2 linked regions of the Macaca mulatta genome follow. The protein of the gene in region 2 purifies or fractionates together with the protein of the main gene of each other region. This does not show direct contact. Links are inferred from orthologs where the notes say so. Each region holds a gene or a part of one and is shown on either strand. Other genes may lie near its edges.

What was found. The genes of interacting proteins can lie anywhere in the genome.
Region 1: the proteins of GNB5 (region 2) and GNG2 purify together in Homo sapiens (affinity purification with western blotting; 4 studies listed by BioGRID and IntAct, with this or other methods). This does not show direct contact. The link is inferred for Macaca mulatta from reciprocal best matches to the Homo sapiens genes GNB5 and GNG2.

Annotation. Positions count from the first base shown.
Region 1 is NC_133412.1:125,049,490-125,053,668, reverse strand, and holds the start of GNG2 (guanine nucleotide-binding protein G(I)/G(S)/G(O) subunit gamma-2), read right to left. Parts: upstream 2,806-4,179; 5' UTR 2,673-2,805; intron 1-2,672. UniProt on the Homo sapiens protein: Guanine nucleotide-binding proteins (G proteins) are involved as a modulator or transducer in various transmembrane signaling systems.
Region 2 is NC_133412.1:29,420,447-29,423,244, forward strand, and holds part of GNB5 (guanine nucleotide-binding protein subunit beta-5), read right to left. Parts: intron 2,672-2,798; coding exon 2,575-2,671; intron 1,246-2,574; coding exon 1,079-1,245; intron 1-1,078. UniProt on the Homo sapiens protein: Enhances GTPase-activating protein (GAP) activity of regulator of G protein signaling (RGS) proteins, such as RGS7 and RGS9, hence involved in the termination of the signaling initiated by the G protein coupled receptors (GPCRs) by accelerating the GTP hydrolysis on the G-alpha subunits, thereby promoting their inactivation.

The DNA.
Region 1 (4,179 bases), about 96 Mb from region 2:
TCCTTATGTCACCAAGGAAGAAAAAATAACATTTGAGTATCTTCTATGTAGAAAGCACTCACTTATCCGCACACAAAAGCAAAAACAAAACAAAAGAAAAACTTTGATTATGTATTATTAGCCCTTCTTTACAATGAGGAAACTGAGGTTCCTAAGTTAATGTACCAAGTTAAGTAGTAAGAACCAGTGATAGGTTTCAAAGGCAGATCTGTCTGCCTCCAAAGCCTGTGTTCTTTTCACTCCACAGTGTTTTCTCCTACCCACAGAAGTCTTTTATGAACAGGCTTTCTACTTTGACTATACAGCTTTTAGACTTAAAAGTTGGGCTTGCTTTCTGAAGCAGGCTAAACAAAGTCAGTCAACCAAACATATTCACTACATGCCCACCATATGAGGCCCAAGGCTGGCCATGAAATAATGGAGTCATGTTTCCATTCAGCCATTGGCCATATGGCAGAAAAAAAAAAAATAGTACAATTAAAATTTCAGTGTTGGTCTACTCCTCAACAGCCAGTGAATACCCCAAGAAAAATCATTATGTCTTTCAATATTCCATATGGCCAGAATAAGTGGAAATAGTTTCATTTTACAGCATAGAAGCATATTCATCTTTTTGCTAAACATTCTACCATCATAGTTACTGATCTGCTGTTACTCACTAATGTTCTGCTTCAAGCTGGAATTTAACAATTAAGAAATGTTTTGTGCTGTGCAGAAAATAGGCACCTCTTAGTTGTTTTCAGAAAGATAGCAGGGCCCTCTTGACTCTACTATGCCCGTCGGGCAAGGTTTCATTTTCTTACTCATGTGTGAAACACACACAGAAGAGTAATGCAGATTGTCTGTGCCTCCCCAAACAAAGCAGGGTGTTGGCATTATCTAGTGAATACAGCCTGCAGAGGAGTAAGTATCAAAGGGTAAGCCTGTCCTCATCCATGCAGCTCAGGTTACCAACTTTTTACTTCATTTCATGATGTACAGCTTGATTCTAGAACTCCACTGGGTCATTCTGGATCTAAGATCTACCCTAGGTCTCCTCTCTAAGAAGATGATCTTTACATATTTCCCTTTAGGATGCAAATAGGAAGCCGAACTGCAAAATCCATGTCACGACTTGTTTTGCCCACAAGTTTGATTAAATTCAGTAAATCCTTCAAGGAGTTCCATGGTTTCAATACCAGCAGTACTTTGTCTCTTAGGCACGGTGCAGGTTTACTTTAATGAGCAAAAAACCTCTGAGAAATAGACATTTTTTTTCTTTAGTAGCTATGAAAGCTTCCCATCTCTCAAAATGTGCTGCTACTCCACAGATTTTGAGAAGCCATATCGATTTCATAAAGATAGCATTAAAAACAGCCCTATAGCTCTTCACAAGTGAGAATGATGATAAACGAGGAGATACATATATACATGCCCTCTCAACTAGCATATTTGGTATTTAAGAACCTATGTTTCAAGAATTTGTGAGTGTCAAAATATTGACATTTTTGTTATTTTTACTCCAATATAAGCAGTTTTTTCCTCTTTCTTTTGAAAAATTATCTCCTTTCATTATAGAAACTCTAGAAAAAAAACCCCTTTTATCAATAACTACTTACTGCTTAACTGTACTTTCTGTTGAAGATTAAAAAAATAGCTTAATTCTTTAAATCGTGCTATACCAGGGTATTAAACTCACCTATATATCCTGTCAGAGGAATCTCACAATCTCAGTTCTCATCTGCCAGACCTATTTAGTGTACTTTTACATATCATTCATAAATATGAACAAGCCATAGACCCAAGCTCTCATTAAGAACATTCTTGGCTCAAGAAAATCAAAGAATAAAAATCATGTTCTGGTTTTACTACTTCCGTCTATCTACAGCATATTCGTGTAAGGAAAGAACCCAGCTGCACTTTTTTATTTTGTCCCTCACCGAGGCTAGCATGCACCTTGACCTAGAGGTGAAGAAAACGCATATAAACATAAAATCCATACATATACTAGTATCTGATTCTGGACAAGTTACTGGCCTTAAACCCGCCACACTCCTTTGAACAAGGATGCAACTTTAGGATAAGACCTACTGGCAAATGATAGCTGTGCCTGAGGTTATCCTGAAAGCAGCTGCACAAGCTAAGGGAGGAAGACACTGTTTTTTTAATGGTAAATACTGCCCCTCACATACGCAATTCGAGCCTTTGTTGGCAAAATCTAAGTACAAAAGAATTTAACTCCCCCAAAAGCGAAATCACAGCCATTATTTTTGCAGATCAGAAGACATCCCAGTGCAATGTGTAAGAAAGAGAATGCAATTAATATTTTACACCACTTACTCCCCTAAAACAAGGGGACTGCAAGGCTCCGATGACCAGACCACGGCTTCACAGCCCCAGATGGATTTCGACTCAGCCCTGGTTTTCTTCCGAGAGAACTATACAAACAGCTTCTTGTATTTAGCATGTTGCCCTGTCGAGTCATCAAATCTAAGCACTGATGATGAGGGTTTTTTTTAATCAAATGTGTCATAAATGTGGTCGTTCTCAAAGACCCTTCCAAAAGAATCTAATCATTTCCCCTAGTCTTGAAGCGATGTCTTTATCATCCCTTAGAAATCGGACCTTAAAACCACAGGCGACGGTCATTTTTCTCAATTAAAAACGAGCAACATGGAAAACGTTTCCTTTACCTTAGCTCCCGAGGCTTGGTCAGAGGAGTGTGGTTTTCCCCTGTCTCCGGAGCTGATCTGTGCAGGAGAGCTCCGGCGCAGCCCAGCCCAGCCCAGCCCAGCAGTAGTAGGAGTTGCCCACGGAGCGCGGCGGCAGCGTTGTGAGTATGTGTAGCGGCGGCTGCAGCCCAGGGACTAGTCCCCACCCAGCTTTGTCTTCAATCAACGTTCTCTCTACAGGAAGCAGCGCATCTCCCACTTCCTCCTCTTCTTGGTAGCTGTTAGCGGCTTGCTTCTTTTCCCTCTCATTTCCATTTCAGGGCTTACTCTGGTGGTTTTGTCTGCTCCTGGGCTGCTGACAGTGATTTGACTTTAATCCCCCTTCTCCCTTTGTTCAAGTCCCTCTGGTGCTGTCTGTTCCTTCCTTCCCCTTTTCTCATGGCCCCACCGTCACCTCCGCGACAGCTTCCACACACCGCTCAGTCGGCCCCCTTCCTGGCACACTGCCTGCTTTTTTAGCCTGAACTTGGCTTGTAGCTATTGTTGTTCTTGCTGTTGTTGTTGCTACTGCTGCTGCTGCTTTTTTGGGTCAACATCCCCTGGTCAGGTTCTGGCCCCCAAGATCCCACACCAGCCTCCACTGTTCCTCCTGATTTACTGTGGTCCCCATCAAGCCAGCTAGCTGGGAGCTTGCAGCTTGCAGCTTGCAGCTTCTCACTGCAGCATTTTTCTCAGTGGCCAACATTTCAGATGCTTCATTTCTCCAAGGTCCCACTACCACTGAGATCTTACTTAACCCACATGCTCAGAAAAGAATGGCCTGATAAGTATTCTTATGGGGCACGGGAACTAAACCAAGTTTGGCGATGCTACCTATAGGCCTAACAGTGAGGACTATTTCCAAAAGATTCTCATAGATGGGAAGGAATGAGGTGGTGCTGAATGCTACACATTCCCAACAGAGAAACTGAATATCCCTCTCCCCATCCCCCACACACTAGCAGGGCTGAAAGGACCCTCGCGATCCTCCAGTCCCTTCCCTTCATCTTAGGAGGTAATATCGTGGAACACACAAGGGTAGAGACTGCAAGCTGTTTGTCTGCCAGAATTTCAATCCGTTGCCATTACTGACTGTATGAACTTGGGCAAATTATTTAACGTCTATGTGCCTCAGTTTCCTCATCTGCAAAATGTAGTTGATGATAGCCATGCTCTACAGTGGAAACCTGAGGATTAAATGAGATGGTATACAAAATGCTAATAGTTCTGGGGACATAGGGAGTATTCGGCACATAATAACTCTTATTATTTTTAGAGGACATTGGGCCTCACATTCAGTAAGTGATTTCGGCAGTCAGCAGCCAAACCCTCACCAGTACTTGGTTTTCCGATTCCTCACTATTAGTATGTTCGCAACTGAACCCGGATGCCTTAATAACAATTTATTCAACGTGTGAGTCATTCTCCCCCCAGTACTAACACCAGGTACTTTGGGGAAGCTACAGATTAAACATGAGATGGGGGAAGG
Region 2 (2,798 bases):
CAACAAAGACCTGCCTTAAACCAGACCAAAAAAACCTCGTGCATGCCTTTGTCCTCCTCTTCTGAGATGCCACTACACCTCTACCAATTCTTGATGTTCCACACTGAGGTAAGCAATCAATTTAGCTTTGCTCTATGAATGGGCATCTTTTTTTTTTTTTTTTTTGAGACAGAGTCTTGCTCTGTTGCCCAGGCTGGAGTGCAGTGGGATGATCTCGGCTAACTGCAACCTCTGCCTCCTGGGTTCAAGCGATTCTCCTGCCTCAGCCTCCCGAGTAGCTGGGACTACAGGTGCCTGCCACCACGCCTGGCTGATTTTTGTATTTTTAGTAGAGACGGGGTTTCACCATGTTGCCCAGGCTGGTCTGGAACTCCTGACCTCAAGTGATCTGCCCACCTCAGCCTCCCAAAGTGCTACAATTACAGGTGTGAGCCACCACGCCCGGCTTAAACAGGCTATTTTGGTAGTATTTTGGGGGAGCCAACACTCAACAAGGTTATGGAGCTATCTTTGAGAATTTAATGAAAGCCATGAGGACAAAATGCATACACCCCAAATTTGGCATATATAATTTCAGGGGCTTCTCTTCCAAAATTAAGCTATAGGAAAACTAAAAAAAAAAAAAAAAAAAAAGGAAGATAAAAGTAATAATTTCAGGGGCTTCACAGCCTCTTGGATCTGTGACCCTTGTCATCACACGGTTAATAATTGTAATAAGAACCCTATACTATAGGAGAAAAGACTGGTTATCTGTGGTTTGCCAAAGGCTAGAATCACAAGAATCAGACTTTTAGGGTCAAAAGGAACTTTCTGGAGGATGAAGCCTAACTATTCCCTCACCTACAGGCTGATACGCAGTTGTCGAATCTATACGAAAATACCTGCATTGATGGGGCACTCGCTACCTCTCCAGGCAACTAGTTCCTCCTGTGGCTGTGGGCAGAGCGGAAACGAGAGCTCCGCGAGGCTGACCAGGCCCACCTGAGCTTACTCTGAAAGCCTTCCCTCTGCTTCAGAAGGCCCGTCACCCCTCCCCTCTCCTCTCACACACAGGAAAAGAGAAAACCACCTCTCTTACTCTGAGGGTATGATCCCATGATCCTGAGCAGAAAGCAGTCCCATCGGGGGAAACTCGTAGAGTGCTAACGCGGTTTTCATGGCCAAACAGGATGGAGACCCGGGACCCTTTGAGAACATCCCAGACGTTGATAGTGTAATCATTGTATCCAGCAAACAGCAGGCGACCTTGAAGCAGGGTGAGATGATAGCTGTTAAGCCAGTTCCTTGCTTCCTGTTTCTCATTACATGACTGTCACTCACTCACTCATTCAGTAAGCAGTGATTCAGGCCCACTGAGTCCTAGGCACTGTACTTTGCCTTGAGGATTTAAAGGGGAGAAAGCACAGTCACGGCCCCTGGTGGAGGATGTGGGGCCGAGAGGAACAGATCACTGTAGCATCCCATGGTAACAGCCATAATGCAAGTGCTTTACACACGTAAAGTGCTATGGGACCAGAGAGGAAGGGGGATCAAGGGGGGCACTGCAGACACAAATAAATTATTTCTAGTCATTTGCTAGTTAACAACTTGTAAAACTTGTTTAAAGAGAGAAAGTTAAAGTGACATTTGAGCTGGCTCTTGAGGGTTGAATAGGAGTCAGTCATGCAGAGAAGGCAGGGAAAAGATGTTCCAGGCAGTAGCAGGAACTTCATGTGCAGATAGTCTAGGGATGTGTCTGGGGAAATCGAGTGGTCCAGGTAGCCAGCCTGTTACCTCTGCTTTAACTTTCCATTTTGCTTTCTTTCTTTGACATGATCTTTCTGGAGCTATGCTTTTTCACTAGCAACTTCCCACAAAGGAGCCATGAGCTTCATTCACGGCACTGAGAAGGGACTCATTTTATTTTTTCCCTTTGAGTCGGAGTCTTGCTCTGCTGCCCAGGGTGGAGTGCAGTGGCACAATCTCAGCTCACTGCAAGCTCCATTTCCCAGGTTCAAGTGATTCTCCTGCCTCAGCCTCCCGAGTAGCTGGGATTACAGGCATTCACCACCATGCCCAACCAAGTTTTGTATTTTTAGTAGAGACAAGGTTGCACCGTGTTGGCCAGGCTGGTTTCGAACTCCTGACCTCAAGTGATCGCCTGCCTTGGCCTCCCAACGTGCTGGGATTATAGGCGTGAGTCACAGTGCCTGGTCAAGAAGGGACTCTTGCTTAACCTCCACCTTAGAGAAAAGTTCCCTTTGGGGCATGAAGAGAAGCAAAGACTGGGGAGAAAAATGCCTGAGAGCATTGCAGAAGTGAATTTCTGACACTTCATTGCCTTGAAGGACAGCATTAGGTGAGTACACAGCCTTCATCTCCCCCTGGAGTGAATGGGGCTAGGGGAAGTTGCCTGGAGCAGGGCAAAGTGGGAGGTCAGAAGCTCAGAGGAAAACTGGTGCAAATGTGGATGATTTTGCATACTGGTCCACAGGAAGCTCGGTTAATGAAAAGGAACTGAGTGATGGTGGAGCGCTAGTTTCATTCCGGTCCTGTCTTACAGTCCCGGGAAAAGTTTCTGAAATAAAATCTTACCACTGAGGGAGAAGTCCACGCTGGATGCTCCAAATATGATACTCTCTTTGGAATAGATGGCGACCTCCCTGTCTGCCCGCAGGTCATAGAGGCGACACTGGGGGGCAAATAAATAAAGCAGCACTTACTTCTGGCTTCAGTTTGGTGATGTGATGACCACAGAGCTACAGGTAGGTGCTAGTGACTTGTGCAGTTTAAAGGATGAAGGAAAAACTTCTTAGTTT